Linked DNA regions of Neodiprion lecontei. The protein of the gene in region 1 interacts with the protein of each later gene in a biochemical or structural test. Links are inferred from orthologs where the notes say so. Each region holds a gene or a part of one and is shown on either strand. Other genes may lie near its edges.

Evidence for each region.
Region 2: the proteins of protein arginine N-methyltransferase 5 (region 1) and serine/threonine-protein kinase RIO1 are reported together in a solved structure, tested with the Homo sapiens proteins (2 studies listed by BioGRID, with this or other methods). The link is inferred for Neodiprion lecontei from reciprocal best matches to the Homo sapiens genes PRMT5 and RIOK1.
Region 3: the proteins of protein arginine N-methyltransferase 5 (region 1) and methylosome subunit pICln form a complex in vitro, tested with the Homo sapiens proteins (5 studies listed by BioGRID and IntAct, with this or other methods). The link is inferred for Neodiprion lecontei from reciprocal best matches to the Homo sapiens genes PRMT5 and CLNS1A.

The regions. Positions count from the first base shown.
Region 1 is NC_060261.1:7,111,587-7,117,774, forward strand, and holds protein arginine N-methyltransferase 5, read left to right. Parts: upstream 1-1,664; 5' UTR 1,665-2,007; intron 2,008-2,427; 5' UTR 2,428-2,482; coding exon 2,483-2,571; intron 2,572-2,646; coding exon 2,647-2,765; intron 2,766-2,855; coding exon 2,856-3,079; intron 3,080-3,265; coding exon 3,266-3,448; intron 3,449-3,529; coding exon 3,530-3,739; intron 3,740-3,841; coding exon 3,842-4,050; intron 4,051-4,229; coding exon 4,230-4,352; intron 4,353-4,443; coding exon 4,444-4,619; intron 4,620-4,713; coding exon 4,714-4,917; intron 4,918-5,020; coding exon 5,021-5,202; intron 5,203-5,399; coding exon 5,400-5,552; 3' UTR 5,553-5,613; downstream 5,614-6,188. UniProt on the Homo sapiens protein: Arginine methyltransferase that can both catalyze the formation of omega-N monomethylarginine (MMA) and symmetrical dimethylarginine (sDMA), with a preference for the formation of MMA.
Region 2 is NC_060261.1:30,581,674-30,587,310, forward strand, and holds serine/threonine-protein kinase RIO1, read left to right. Parts: upstream 1-1,736; 5' UTR 1,737-1,893; exon of another isoform or gene 1,894-2,030; 5' UTR 2,031-2,124; coding exon 2,125-2,174; intron 2,175-2,309; coding exon 2,310-3,313; intron 3,314-3,430; coding exon 3,431-3,642; intron 3,643-3,730; coding exon 3,731-3,994; intron 3,995-4,281; coding exon 4,282-4,383; 3' UTR 4,384-5,108; downstream 5,109-5,637. UniProt on the Homo sapiens protein: Involved in the final steps of cytoplasmic maturation of the 40S ribosomal subunit. Involved in processing of 18S-E pre-rRNA to the mature 18S rRNA. Required for the recycling of NOB1 and PNO1 from the late 40S precursor.
Region 3 is NC_060264.1:26,458,825-26,463,424, reverse strand, and holds methylosome subunit pICln, read left to right. Parts: upstream 1-1,693; 5' UTR 1,694-1,946; intron 1,947-2,326; 5' UTR 2,327-2,334; coding exon 2,335-2,453; intron 2,454-2,781; coding exon 2,782-2,927; intron 2,928-3,064; coding exon 3,065-3,241; intron 3,242-3,439; coding exon 3,440-3,550; intron 3,551-3,650; coding exon 3,651-3,739; 3' UTR 3,740-3,992; downstream 3,993-4,600. Other genes in the region: adrenodoxin-like protein 1, mitochondrial, read right to left, coding at 225-328, 772-1,019, 1,136-1,187, 1,272-1,386; regulator of nonsense transcripts 2, read right to left, coding at 4,503-4,600. UniProt on the Homo sapiens protein: Involved in both the assembly of spliceosomal snRNPs and the methylation of Sm proteins.

The DNA.
Region 1 (6,188 bases):
TGGAGCGCTTATTCCGGAAGTCGAGTTTCACCAGGTAGTGGACCTGGAGCGCAGGAACCATGGAGCGCTTGTCCTGGAAGTCCAGTTTCACCAGGTAGCGGACCTGGAGCGCAGAAACTATGGAGCGCTTGTCCTGGACGTCGAGTTTCACCAGGTAGCGGATCTGAAGCGTAGAAACTACGGAGCGCTTGTCCTGGAACTAGAGTTGCACCAGGTAGCGGACGTGGAGCGCAGGAACCACGGAGCGCTTGTCCCTACAATCGAGTTTCACCAGGTAGTGGACCTGGAGCGCAGGAACCATGGAGCACTGTTCCTGGATGTCAAAATCCACCAGGTGGAGGACCTGGATCGCCAGAACTACGGAAAATTAGTCTTGAAGGTCAAAAGTCACCAAGTCAAGGACCTAGACAGCTAGAACTACGGAGCACTTGTCCTGGAAGTCGAGTTTCACGAGGTAGCGGACCTGGAGCGCAAGATCCAGGAGGTAGAGAATCCGGTACTCGAAATCTGCAGAGCGCGATTCTCATACGTCCGCTCTACTGCGCGGTTATTTCCAGACTGAGAAATTCAGTTAGCTGATTTTCGGTTAGCAAGAGAAAAAAAAATTTGGGTTACGTCACTTTCTGAACATACGAAGATACGATATCCAAACTTTAGTTTCGAACTTTAATACTATGTATCTTGTATGATGTAGGATGTATGATGTATGATGATATGATATGATGTATAATGATTCTAGTTTTTACATTTCAGACAAGAAAGACGCACTATCTTCCCTGCCAATTCCAGACTCAAGGGGCTAGGCCCTTTGATGGTTAACCGTTGACTAAAGATGTATTCTTCAGTTAACGGGTCAGCTAATAATGCTGCTGTTCTGCGACAGTTAGATGATAAAAATTTTTGCTCGTACCTTTCAAATATGTGTTCAAATACCCTCGACATTTTAAGAAGCTTCGTTCTTTCTCTCATTATCAAAAAAAAAAAAAATCGCCGACAACCATCTTTTCAAACCTTTAAATCAGGACACTGTGTTAAATACTGTCTCACATAAGCAGCATCCATTTGACTCGATCAAAATTAGCGCATCCGTGATGTATTACAGTTACTTTGAATTTTTTTCCGTACGAACACTTTTCTAAAACCAATTCTATTTCCCTACCCAATGTAGATACCTCACTTGCGACTAGCTGAAACAGCGTTTCGATTCTATGCCTACGACAATTCAAGATCGAGAGAGCAAATGAAAAGTTGTTGGAATAATTATGAATATTAATGTTATAGAATACATGGCCGAGCAGGGGGTCGAGGAGGACGAAGGTCGGAGGTGGTTGGTGGTGTTCGAAATTGGTAGGAGGCCGTAGGAGGTAGTCGGCGCTGGTAGCAGGTGGTTGGAGGTGGTAGGAGGTGATCGGAGATGGCCGAGGAGGACGAGGACGACGAGGCGGCGGAGGAGGAGGGGGACGAGGTGGTCGAAGGTGGTTGACGATGGTTGGTAGTGCTCGGTGGTAGTTGGGGGTGGTCGGCGGTGGACGCGGTTACGCGTCTTCTCGCGGGAATGATCGAGCTGATCAAGATTTCTAAGTCGCAGTCGACAAGTAGTCTTACGTATTCACTTTGTACCGACTAAAATATAAGCTTCCATACCGACACTACTTTGCCTGTTACGAACGTCGGTTCGAGTCCCTTAGGTAGAATCGATAGAGCAAAACCCTCCTACGCTCCCAGGCTCACCCGGGCCCACTTGCCCGCCGAAAACTGGTCACAAAAATCTACTCAGAGGTATCCGTCTTTATACCGCCAATTGACCAATTAGAGTGAGAGGTCGGACTCCCGCCGTTGCTTTCTCTTTCCAATTAGGGCTTCAGCTCGGTGCGCGGACCACGCAGTCTATCTATGTTCTTTACAAGTCTATGACAGTCTTACTGGCCGGTGAGAATGTCAAAGCGTGATTTGGTATCGCAAGATTTTGTTAATACCGGCTCTTGAATCGCAGTCTTTGAACCTCAGGTACGGCTATAGCAGAGGATAGATGAATCATTAATATAGACTTTTAAATAGGATTCAGATAACTTGTTGCTATTTTATCAGACGTAAACGAATCTGCATATCCTAACCTCGATAACAATGTGGCAACTTCGTTGCGCACCTGAAATAACCCACATTGTGCTGTTATTCTATTGTTTACAACGCTTATTGATGAACAAATAATCATCAGTAAATGAAAGTATCTAACAACACATTAGGATACACGTATATAGATATTTCACTGCTGGCTTTATCAATTCAATTCTAATTCAGTGTGATACGCATTATAAAATTATCCTCACAATAAATCAACAGCCTACTTATACTTTTTACATTTATTCTGATTACAAGATGTAGTTAATAAGATCGATTACAATTCAAAAATGAAATGCAATTTTGCAGCATATACAAGTTTCTCTGATTCACGGGATACGGTTGAGTTCTTAAAATCGTGACAATGGCTGCTGAGAAACAAGTTTCCTGTGGGCTGGACTTCTGTTCAGTCCCAGATTTAAGTAATTGTTTGATGACTGCGACATCATCAAGGTTAGTATTTATTATTGCCATTTGAACATGACGTTCTACTTGAAAAAATCTCTGATTCATGGACATCATTTGCAGGTATGATTTTATCTGCATACCCTTGGTGCATCCAAAATTTAAACGTGAATTTGTTGATCCTGAATTGAAAAAACGTCCTGGGCCATTCACGAGGTCTGACATGATCCTATGCAGCTCCGGTAAGCTGAGAAGAAAATCATTTGCACTGACTTTCAAATTTGCTTACTAGAATTTTTAGCATATACCACTGAGTGAATTTAAATTCGCAGATTGGAATAACTTGGTGATTGGGAAATTGTCGCCTTACATTGATGTAGATTGCACTAATCCAATCTCCCGAAAGAATAACGAAGAGACTTTAAACCAGGAATTGGCATTGGCTACACACCTAGGTCTTCCAGCGATTACATTCAAGCTAACAAGAAATATGAATCAGAATATTAATTTTGCTCGAATTATTTACAATAAGTCTACAACTCCTTGTGCCTTCCAGGTATGTTTACACATTGATGTTTAGTTCTGTGCAAGTGTATCAATATTTTGATCTAACCGCCAATTTAAAATCATAGAATGTAGTCAATTAAATCTAATTGTGAAAAACTAAAACAAATACCCTTACAGATCAGTTTGATTGAACTTTATTTTTCATCATTATGTTTAATAACCTTGGCATTCGTAGGTGTGGGTTCAAGTTCCAATGGAAAACCCTGCTAAGCAAGCCAACACGTACAGATCAGACAAAGGAGATGATGCAGTTGAAAGCACATGGGAGTGGTGGAATTCCCTGAGATTAGTTTGTGACTTCCATGGGAAGCTTGGTGTTGCCTTGATTGTTAGTCACGACATTCCTAGTGCAGAAGAGGTGACTTGTAACATTGATATTCCCCTCATACGTGATTTTTTCTGTTTTACCTGGTCTCTGTATTACCTAATCTAACTTCAGATAAATAGATGGTTGGGTGAACCACTGAAGTGCCTAATTCTACCTACAACCTTGTTCATTACCAATAAAAAAGGATATCCAGTATTAAGTAAGGCACATCAAATGTTGCTCAAGAAGTTTTCTCCACTGAGGGTCCAAATGATTCTATCCGGATCAAACAGACATCAGGATATTACTTTTTATCATAATTATCTTGATCATCTTGCAAAGGTACGGTGTATCCAAATTATTCATTTCACTCTTGTGCAGTGCATTGTACACTTATTTTTGCTATCTGTGGTTAAAATGTCTAAGATTATTTCATTTTCCCAGACTTATCAAAGTAATGGGCCAGTTGAAAGATTTGCCAGGGGCTATGAAGATTATTTGCAATGCCCGTTGCAACCGTTGATGGATAATCTTGAATCTCAGACATATGAAATATTTGAAAAAGATCCCTTCAAATACAATCAATATCAGACCGCTATTTACCAAGGAATTCTCGACAAGATTCCAGAAGCTGAAAAGGATACCAAAACTTTGTAAGGAACGTGTTAAACCTTACACTAGAATAAGAACTTGTTTTGAACTGTGAATGGGTAGAGGCTGCTGATGAATTTTATGATTAGTCAACCAGTTTTCCCCCAATTGAACAATCTTTTCATTGCCTACTCACTAACCAAAGTTATTAATACATCTTGTAACGTTTTACATTGTGCAGAGTTATCATGGTGGTCGGCGCAGGTAGAGGACCCTTGGTACGGGCTTCTTTGAATGCTGCTGAAAAAGCACAAAGAAAAGTCAAGGTTTATGCTGTTGAGAAAAACCCTAATGCCATTCTAACGTATGCATAATTTGTTTTGATAACCAAATTGATCAACTAAATCTGTACTTAACTCTCAACTTGCTAGTACTTACCAGATTATTGATCACAGGTTACAGGCTTTAGAAAAAGAAATATGGGGAGACAAGGTCACTGTTGTATCATCTGACATGAGAGAGTGGGTTGCTCCTGAAAAAGCAGATATTCTCGTTTCTGAGCTCCTAGGATCTTTTGGCGATAACGAGCTTTCACCTGAGTGCTTAGATGGGGTTCAAAAGTTCCTAAGTGGTATACCTTGCATCAATACTTACATTCATTCATATAGTGTTCCCATGGATTTATTTGTAGACTAATATGTCTTCTAAATATTTCTGATTGATAGATGATGGAATAAGTATACCTTGTTCATACACGTCATACATTAGTCCAGTGCAATCGTCAAAGTTGTATAATGAAGTCAGGCAATGTAAGGAAAAAGACAAGCATCCCCTGGCTCACTTTGAAACTCCTTACGTTGTTCATCTTCAAAACAAGTATGATATTGCACAACCACAGCCTCTCTTCACATTCGTTCATCCTAATAAAGGTAAGAGTTGATCAACGTTTATGGTAACTAAAAGCTGCGAAAAATTTCTGTTTTTCCTATTACAATGTAACAAAAATTTTCATTCTATTCTTTTTATCTTCAGAACCATTTATTGATAACAACAGGTATGAAGTGAAAAAGTTTGTAGCAGAACAAAATTCGGTATTGCACGGTTTTTCCGGCTACTTTGAAGCCATCTTGTACAAAGATGCGACTATTAGTATAGAACCGAACACACACAGTCCAGGCATGGTTAGCTGGTTCCCAATTTTCTTTCCTATCAAGGTAATAATTCACATGAATCTTATATTTCGTAAGGATATATCTGGTGTACAATCCAACTAAAAGAATGTTGATACAACTATGGTTACTAACAATAAGATAAGAGCTTTAGATCGTCACATTGTTGTATTATTTTTTTTCCTTGTAAGTTGTGGAAACAGATCAAGATTTCTTAATAAAATACCATATAAATTTTCCAGGAAGCCGTTCTACTCAATGCTGGTGATGTGGTTGAGGCACACTTTTGGCGAAGGTGTACATTAAAAAATGTGTGGTACGAGTGGTGTGTCAGCAAACCTGCGCCATGTTCCATCCATAATCCAAATGGCCGGTCCTATACAATTGGGCTTTGAATTACAATGAACTATGTGATATGAAAGGTTGAAACTTGAAAATTAAATAAACAAAGAACCACTTTTCGTTATTTTGTAAAAAATGATTTTTAATGTTGTTCGAAAAAAGATATTTTTTCATTTGTTGAACTGATTGTTTGGTGCAGTATTTGTAATCAACTTAGAGAATATCTCTTTTATTCGATGAGCCAGTAACTGCACATTATGGAAATGCAAGAATGCATTTTAATGCGATTAGAAACATGTATTTGTGGTTCGTAGCTTGTCGTATTAATGTGATGGATAGACGAGCTACCGCCCCTTGCAATTTATTAATAGTGATCCTGCATATACTTATGTAGGTGGTACTACGTAGAATTTTGATACATAACATGTTTGCTGTAATCACGCTGGAGAAATGTTGTAACGAACTGATAAACCATTGACCTCACGTGATCAGAACAGTCATGTACCGATACCACACGCAAAGTGCCGCGTAAATCGTAGATCTCGGATTCTATTGAAGCAAAAATGTCCGTACAAAAATTTGTCACACGTACGGCGATATTGAAAATCATTAATCGTATTAAATTTCACCCAACTTTTTCAAAACAGATGGGAGCAGTTCTAGATGATATAAATATTTTTATATGCCTA
Region 2 (5,637 bases), about 23 Mb from region 1:
TTTTTTTTTTAGGCGCATAGGTCTTTAAGTTATGTTAGGAAACTTGTTTGTCTTTGATCGTAATTTTATGTAAGTTTTGTTTTCACAATATTTCGACTATGCACGCTATAAGTAAATAAAGTGATGCTTACTTGTACGTTTGTAAATTTTACTCGATGGTAATTTGTATCCATGGAGTCCTTAGGAATCTATTTGTCGGAATTGCAACGATCATGTTGGAAAAGGTCGATGAGCTTTCGTAGCGAGAATCGCATGAAATCGTTTCAACAGCTTCTATATGAGGATGATATTTAAATAAAAGCCGTGATCGTCTTTTAACTTGCCGTTTTGTAACATTCCGAAAATGAAAATTTCAGTTTTCTCAAGGTTGCTACGACTTGAGATCTCCAGAATCTCATCCAGTAATTATCAGATTAACGGCGGGATAAGCGTAAGTGCAACCAATTGATTTCATATCCGATAAAATCGATGCGCTTCTTCTTAACTTGGAACTTATTAGATTTTGGATCTGTTCGGGCCAGTAGCTTTAAATTTAAAATAACATTCAAATGATTTTATTTTGTTTAAGTGAAGATTCAATATTTTTCGGGATGCTTGTAACAAAAAATTATTTCGTCGCCTTCAAAAAAGACAATACAATCACTAAAAAATACTTTTGTACACCTCAGATATGTTTTATAAATACTTACGACAAGATTCTTCACTATCACTGTACACTCCGCGATTTTTATCCCCGTGAATTGACCGCCGGCTTGCGAATACTGCGCTTTCTCTCACAATCAGAACCACACAGTATCAAGACAAATTTTTCAAGACAAGACAATTTAAATTTGAAAACATTGTTGGTGAGAAAATCGATTGGGAAGCTGAAGGTTTAATTAACACATCGAGAGTGCTGTACTTTTCACATACCGTTAAGCAATTGCTAAGCAAAAGGCATGATCGATCGATTTCTTAAATATAAGTCCTTCACTTTTTCCTGACTTTTTCAGTTAAAAAATTCAAATTGCTATTTCCGAAAAAGTTACGTGCAACTTTGTGAAAGTATGAAAATCACGAAAAAACATGTTTAATGTCCCCGAGTGAGTGCTAAAAAGGTCGTAGTAAATTTTGCAAAGAACGGTAACGAAGCTGATTCTTTCTACTTTCAAATGCAACCTGCAACCTTTCTCTACGCCTCGTCGGAAACGACTGACGCCGCACTGCGCTGGGAAGCAATTCCTGATCGGTCGGAAATGCCATACGAGTTGCGGACAACGCTGTCAGACGTTCGAAAAATTGCCGAAATTTTCTGACGACTTCCAGCCGAATGAAATGTGTTAACCGAAGATATATTAAGTCATTCCTGAGGGTCCAATTAGTGGAAAGAGTCTTGCAAAAACGATTTTGGGACGAAAGTTTTCCGAGCTCTGAAAATCGCAAACAAAGGAAGGCTAAGCCCTTTGGATTGTTTGAGCCGAAATTTGGCCGATTTTGAAAAACACTTAAATGTATTCTGTGATGCATTATATGAACGTAATTTTGCGAAAAGAATTGGTTGCGCTCAGTTCGAATACGCCATCAGCTATTTCATCTCGCTTCTTCATTTTCTCCATTTTTTCCAATTTTTTCACGCTTCCAATTGATAACATAGATTTTTGAATTCTTTGAGCAAAAATGTAATTGAGATCCACTGACCTAGCCACGTGGGTTTCGACGCGCGGCATTTTGCCGTTGCGTCGGTACCCATTTTTGACGCCCGTATCAAATCCAGCCTACGACTGATAGATACACCAGAATCTCCGCGCATGCGTGCGGAAAAATACTCAGCTTGAGAGCCTGCTGTTTCATGTGACTGTTACACACTACCTGATCACTCTCCAAAGTGCAATATGATATAATATATCTTGACAGGTATGTTGACAAGTTTCGAAGAAAGTAATAACGAATAACGCGACCAGTGACGCGTTCTATTCCGTACACAGACATTCATCGATTTGATAAGAGTGGTGTGACAAACATAGCTTGCTAAAATAGGTGTAATTTTTCAGTATCAGAATCTGGCTAATGTGGGCAACAACGTGTGTCACGTGGCAAGCATTCTTGACTGAAATATTCACCTGAGCACCTATTCCAAATTCGACAATGGCATCACTGGACGAAGGCCAATTTAGCGATGCCGATGAAGAAACGATGTATGTACATACAATTCATAGGTTTCATACTACATACATTTCAGGCATTGCGCGATATTGTGTCACGAAACTGAGTCTAACCAAACCTGGCTATCTTTAAGCGCGTATGAAATAACATTTTTCATTCCTTCCCAGAGAAAAAACGAAATGTGGAAAACCAATGATCATTCACGAATTGACCGTCACAGTAGGACAATTGCAAATAGACATCGAAGACAACACAGAATATGACTCTGAAGACGATTCATACGATTGGGATGTAGATGCTAGAGGCAATTACCAGTTGAAGAACAATAGTCGTTCAAATGGAACGGCCAACAGTCAGATGGCAAGCAATAAAGTTTCCAACTACCAGCCTACTGATAAATTATTTCGACGTTACTCCAATAAAATAAATGTTGAAAAATATGAGGGACCCAGTTTGCCCAATCATGCGGCTAATTTACTTATCGAAAGTAACAAACGCACTGAAAATGAACGGATAAGAACAAAAGACAAACATGACAGAGCAACGGCTGAGCAAGTTATGGATCCTCGCACACGTATGATTTTATTCAAACTACTCAACAGAGGTATAATCGCTGAAATCAATGGTTGTATTTCAACGGGAAAAGAAGCTAATGTTTATCATGCCACCTCTAAAACTGGTATTGAATTCGCGATAAAAATCTACAAAACATCAATACTAGTGTTTAAGGATAGAGACAAGTATGTAAGCGGTGGATTTCGTTTCCGTCACGGTTACTGTCGTCACAATCCACGTAAAATGGTTCGCACTTGGGCAGAGAAAGAAATGCGGAATTTATTGAGGCTCAGTCAGGCAGGAGTATGTGCTCCGAAACCAATTTTGTTGCGCAGCCATGTTCTCCTGATGGACTTCATAGGTAACGATGGATGGCCAGCACCAAAGTTGAAAGACGTTGAAATAAATTCTTCAAAGGCCCGCTCGCTTTACAGAGAATGTGTTGTGATGATGTGGAGAATATACAATAAATGTAAATTGGTTCATGCTGATTTAAGCGAATTTAATTTACTCTATCACAAAGGAGAGATTGTTGTCATAGATGTATCTCAATCAGTTGAACATGATCATCCTCATGCGTATGAATTTCTCCGAAAAGACTGCACTAACATCACAGGTAATCATCTTCAGCATTTCAGTGTCTTTGACCTTCATAAGTAAAATTAATATTTTGAATGTGCGAGTAAATTTTCTCGTTTTCTCAAATGATTGTATATGCAAACTGATTCTTCAGAATTCTTCAAGAAACATGGAGTTGCAGTTATGACGATGAAGGAATTATTTGACTTCATCACAGATCCTAATATAGTGGAAGATACGATGGATGAGTACTTGGATGTGTTAGCAGAACAAGTTATGCTAAGAGAATCAGAGGAAATGGATCCCAACAGTCAAATGGAAGAACAAGTGTTTAAACAAACATATATACCTCAGAGGCTCAATGAGGTATAAATAACCATTAGTGATTGAAATATTCCTAATATATCCAATGACCAGAATATTTAAGCCAATACTGTTGCTCTCAATCTTGCAGGTTATTAACATTGACAAAGATATATCTGAGGCTAATACCGGAGAGCAAAATTTGTTAAGGAAAACCGTGTATGGACTGAGCATTGATTTACCCAAAGCAACAACTGTCACCTCAAAAATTATTTCAACCAAAAGTCACGACGACAGCCATACCGAAGAAAGCGGAGAGGATGTATCTGAATCTGATTCAGAGTCACAAAATAACGATGAATCGAAATTTGTCAATTCAGCTCGACCACGAGACGAAAGTCCTGACAGCAAGAAGGTGAATGCTTTTGATTCGTAGGCGATTTCTTCATCTATGATTAATTTGTCCATTGCTAATGCACAAATAATAGTGTATCGGAATATCGTATATGACCAGTCATGAAATATATGAGAAAATTGAAAATCGACGTTGCACCTTACGCACGTACAGCTCATCTTTACAATATCTGGATACATTTTTTCACATTCTCACCGTTACATGATACTCGTGCTTCAGGTTATAAATAAAAAATAACGAAACTACCTAGATGATTTCTAATTTAATCATGTTCACCAATGTTCCAGGCACGAAAAAAAGCTATCAAAGAACAACAAGCAGAAAATCGTAAGAAGAAAACCAAGAAGCACATAAAAAAAAGAAAAGAAAAGATGGTGAGAAAGAAATAGACACTAAATAGATCCTTGTACAATGTTTGATTCTAGTAATTTAGGATTGGCTCAGAATCTCGCGTTGTATGAATACATTATGTGAAATGATTTAGGTTACAACGAGCATTTTAACCTTATTTATGTAATGCCTTTCGGACTTAACAACTACATACACGGAACCGAAGGTAAACGATGAACTGAAAAAACCAGTCTTTATTGAGTAATTTATAAAACAACAATACTTTTGAAGCATCCCATTTCAAAAAAATGTACTATGTTACTTTTTTTTAAATACTTATAATAAATTTTTGTTTAATATTAAAATTTTTCGCTAATATTTACATTTTAGTGCTGTCACATACTGAGCACATAGATATAGTCATACAGCTAACATAGTTTGAAATAATGGTGTCCAGAACTTTCCCAAGTATTGATTATTACTATAATACCCACCTATTAAATGAATGAAAACTGGAAGATAATTGTAATTCTGTGAAAGTAGAAAATACGGCAAGATCCTTCATGTTATTAAAAAACTATAGTTATAACTAGAAACAACAGAAAATAGAGAAAACGCGATTCCTTTTTTACAATCATAGGGTCTGTTGTAATAATCAGATACTCAAGTTCAATATTGGATACATGGGAACATAATATAATTTTCTCAGCACATCAGACTGTTCAATAACCAGAATATACCTGTATGTCTCGCAAACCGGTACGTTGATAATTAGATAAATACATCTTGGAAAAAAAAACCGTCATAATATTTTGAACACAAAGGTACACATTTGAAAATTCATACACTAAGATGTGAATATGTACAACATAGGCCAGGCAGTAAATTTGATGATATTGAATGAATAACTCGAGATATTTATAGAATGACTACTAAGTTTGTTCAAATGCAATTTTCCTGGAAATAATCTATTTTAAGTAGTTGAAGTAGTAATCTAGTTCAAGTAGTAGTAGTATTTATACATGCTGTATACATACACACACACACACATATATATATATATATATATATATATATATATATGTACACACACGCACACATGTGTGTGTGTTGGTTTCAACTACTTGAAATAGTTTACCATTTCAAAAGTTATAATATTATTCTATTATATGAACAAAGATGGAGAGAAAAATTTATTTCTCACAGCACATGTAATGATGAATGGAACAAATTTGGACACTCAGTGGATATCAAATAGAATTGTGTAATAGTGATATCGAAGCAAGTTTTCATCTGCTGACTGAACATTGCAG
Region 3 (4,600 bases), on another chromosome or scaffold:
TTTCTTTTTTTTCCGTCAATGTGATGCTTTGTGCATCTGTAAAGTTTACTGTGCTCTGTAGAAACACTAAATCGTCGTCAGTATGAGAATGATTGCATCAATTATCAAAAAAGGTAAGGTTTTTATTATACATTATATGTACAATATATTATATATACAATACATTATGATGTGGCTACAAGCGGGATTCTGAACATGTAGGAGATTCAATTCTTCCCTTTTTTTTAATGGGGTGTTGGAGTGTGACCATCTACATAAAAATTTCTTGTAGCTTTTGGAAGTTCAAGTTCTAATCCATTTAATTCTTTAGTCAGAATTATTTGACATCCTGAAAGAATGAAAAAGTAGTAAAGTATCTATTTAGCTCATCTATTGGAAGAGTCTGACAGTGGCTACAAACAAATCCTAGAAATATCCTAGAATCAAAAATTAATCCAAGAAATGGGGTATATATAACATGGAAGTTAATTATTATATTAGGAACATTTCTTTTTTATCTCAGCAAACGTAACTCTTTTTAACTGAAACTTTGTACAGTGGTGAAAATCGGATGTAATCCAATATCAATTTCCAATATTCATGTTTAAGAAGGGAGTGAAGGAAGCCAACTGTTATTAAAAGTAACCAGGGCAATCCGGCATGACTTCCGCGAATTTCATTTTGATCGCAAGATTCTCTTTAAATAAAGTACCTCAATTTGAAGAGTGTTACTGTAAAGGAATTTTTCTGTCCACTCTGGATATCTTAATTTCGTTTACTGCCAAAGCCTACCCAATCTGGAATTTTCTTTCAGAAATGGAGCCAGGTCTAATAAATCTTCTTCCTTGTCTTCTGCTGTGGGTAATTTTTCCCGATGATCAGAATTTACGTAGACATGACAAGTCGTACAGGCCAAGGAAGCTTCACATGCACCTTCCATTTCAATTCCGTGCCTGTGCGCCAAGTACAATACATTGTCACCAACTTTTCCTCTGACTGGTATCCTTTCTCCATGTTTAGTAATGTACACCACGTTGACGCTGCGAAATAAGAGAGGCAGAATTTCTATCCGGCTTTTCAAAACCGTAAGAACAGGACTTGATCGAAAATTTAAGAAGTTGACTGTAAATCGGGCAACTTGAATGTAATAACCTACACTTGGTCCTCCGATGTAGGATCCTGATATTCGTATTCTCCGTGACCTAGTCCTTTAAAGGAGAAAATGGTATAGACACATTATGAAGTTCCGTTGAGAGGTTAGAATGGTCGTGAAATCGTGATCTGCGACTTACGCTCAGTTGTGTGCATGTCAAGCTGGGAAAACATTTTTGGACGATAATAGCTTGACGAAAACAATAATCTCTTTACTAAGAACCTCGACAAAAGGTTTGGCAAAGACATTGTCATTTCGGTCAGGTAGCTTTTGCAAGAGCAGACAGAATACTTAGCGGCGACTTGTCAATTCACACGAGGTTGCGACAGTGTGTGTATAATGTATGCATCATGTTACATACGTGTGCAGGAGTTTCAAGTTGTGTTTACAAAATGAATACGAGGTCTGGGTACCAGGGTGCAGCACCTACTCCGCTGAGCACGTCGAGTTCTCGTTTTGTGCCGTGATTGGTTGAGTGAGCGGGCTCAGCCAATCACGACGCAGACCGAGATATATACATAAGCTCCACGGGTATGCAGCGTAGCTGGAGGGTTGAGAAAACCCGGCGACGCAGTGTCAAAATCTCTATTGCGTTTTTGCGGGAGGGTAAAAAGTAGAGAGAAAGGCGGGACGGAGTCAAATCTTCTCCCTCGAGGGGTGCACCGGGTGTATGTACCAGGCCGAAAAACTGCAGTGAACGATCCGCGCTTCGAGCGCTTGCGATACTTTCCGTGATTCTTATTCTTCTCGATTAACGGCAAGAGATACTTGCGGAGGAAAGTACCGTACATACGTCAAGGGCAGGTAAAACGAGGTAAGATCGATCAGTTCGGTAATTATTACATTATTATCACGGACAGACTTGCATTCGTTGCGCGACGTGTTTGAATCTTGGACCGAGAAACGACAGGGTACCAAAGTACTGCATTCATTCGAGCGATACATATTTTCAAAAGAAAAATGTGGATTTAAGAGTTTTTGACTCAGAACCATTTTCCCGGCTGCCCACGACGAAAAGCAAATGCTCTTGATTCCGTAATTGCTGTTCAGTCATACAGCTACGAATATCAATCAAGTCGCCCAAAGTTGTAGGTTTCCCTTCGACTCCTGAACTCTAACCTATAATAATTAACTTCTTCTAATTTACAATAATGATAACGTAGAATAGGTTTAATTTGTGGTGTTATTTTGCAGATTGTAAAATGGTCGTGCTGATCAATTTTCTACTGCCGCAAGAAGGTGTTAGACACGAAGAGCCTGACACTACGTTGTACATAAATGACAGAGAAGTTGGAAAGGGTACACTGTATGTGACAGAAAGGTAATATGCCGTTTTTATCGTACTGTTGACCTAGATTGGCAGTGATCTACACTAAATTTTATTCGTGTAATAATTTTAAGATTATATTATATTTTGGTGTAATACTGATTATAGAATTAGTATAGTCAGCGTAGAATCTCTACAGTACAAACTTTGAATTAATTTTTTGCAAATTAAAGTAGATGACACGATAAAAATAAGAGTATCGGTAGTGAAGAACACAACTCTCCCTTTATTTGATGTTTCAAACTAGTGGCTCGCAAGAGCAACGGTTAGAACCCATATGCAACATGGATTGGCTGTGTTATAAGTAATCTTACTTTCTCAGCCTACTATCATGGGTTAGTGGGACGACTGGTCAAGGATTTTCATTGGAATATCCTAATATATCGCTGCATGCTATATCAAGGGACCAACAACTACATCCTCACCAATACCTTTATGTCATGGTAGATGCAAAATTAGACCCTGCAGGTAAATGAAAAACGAGGATACTTTTTTCCCTTATACATGTGCTATACTTGCGGTTGATGATTGAGGATTTTTTTGTATTTCTTAACTCAAATTTTGGACAAATATCTCTGTATGTCTGTGTCATGCTATATCAACAGATATGCAAGAATTGCTGCCTATAGATGCCCGATCTGAAGGCAACGATGAAGAGGACGACGACGATGAATCGGAAACTCCAATGACTGAAATGAGATTCGTTCCAGAAAATTCAAATAGCTTGGATGCCATGTTTCAAGCGATGAGCCAGTGCCAAGCACTCCACCCTGATCCTCAAGGTATCTAAATGGTCATGCCTCAAATTCATGACAATCCTTTTGACTTTACTTCAATTACTATTGTATTCTACCTTGGAGGTATAATGCACCTTTTTTTTTCACGCAAATTGACCAAATTTATTTATTTCTAACTCTGCTACAGAACCCTATAGATTTCAATTCCAAGTTATAAGTTACAGAAACAATTATAATGAATAGAAATGAACAAAAACTTCACAGCTGAAGAGGATATCTATGAGGATGCTGAGGACGATGTTTTCAAATGTTGGGAAGCTGAAACAGACGCTATGCCATACATATTGGCATCGGGTATGATTTCTCTCTGTTTTTGTTGAATGGTTAGATTGAATACAATTTGCTATCTAGATGCTGGCCCTGTAACCATTCAATTGGCATGGTAATTTTCCAGATGAAGCATATAATCAGAACGGTGCAGATACAGACGAAGCCATGGATATTGAAGCAGGCCAGTTTGAAGATGCTGAAGAAGACCCTTAGGTAGTTGGTGGTATTAAATTCTACTCTCTGCTGTCAACTAAAACGTGCGTCAATCGTCACTATATCTCTTTGTTCGTGCAGTTTATTTTCATGCGCGTTGTAGACATAATGCTATAAGCTTACCGAATCACAATACTCTGAAGTAAATTTCTGTCAGCTAAGACACAAAGCGCTCGAATTTATATTCATATTCATTTTGTACATGATAACTATTCCTATGGTAAAAAATATAGGTATATAAATATAGATATAATATTGCATTTGATTTTTGTCATTGCGCATTAACGCGATTAATGGGAATGAGATTTTAGACGGAGAAGTATACCTTGCGTAAAAATGACAATCTAAGATTATTGTAACTATCTATCGTGTGTCGGAAATGGTTGATGGAATATGTGATGTTAGGCATGCGAATTATTGTACGTAATTTTAACGTTGGAACGTTTATTTCTCAATTAACGGCGCATGCCGAGTTTACACGTATACCTATTGGTAATGGATGTGTAAAGCTGGGGTCGAAAGGTTTCAATCGAACGATCCCACTTGGAAACACATCCCCGTTTGAATTTGAGATCTGTAGAACAGCGTACATTATTTTGTATACTTAAACATTTGATGTACTCGCGTAACGTGTGTGTGTGTGTAACCACTTATGCATATAGCATAAAAATCATCACAGGTAGTATGGCTACCACAGGCATAAGAAACCGATATCAAGTGTTATCATTACAATATACCTTGCCGAGGTTACACTATTTTCTGCTCATCGAATTTTTTTGGGCCCAAAAATAAGATCAGCATCCGGCGCACCCTTTGGGTGATTGTACTTTTGTCGACGTTCTCTGTTCAGATTAACGGTAA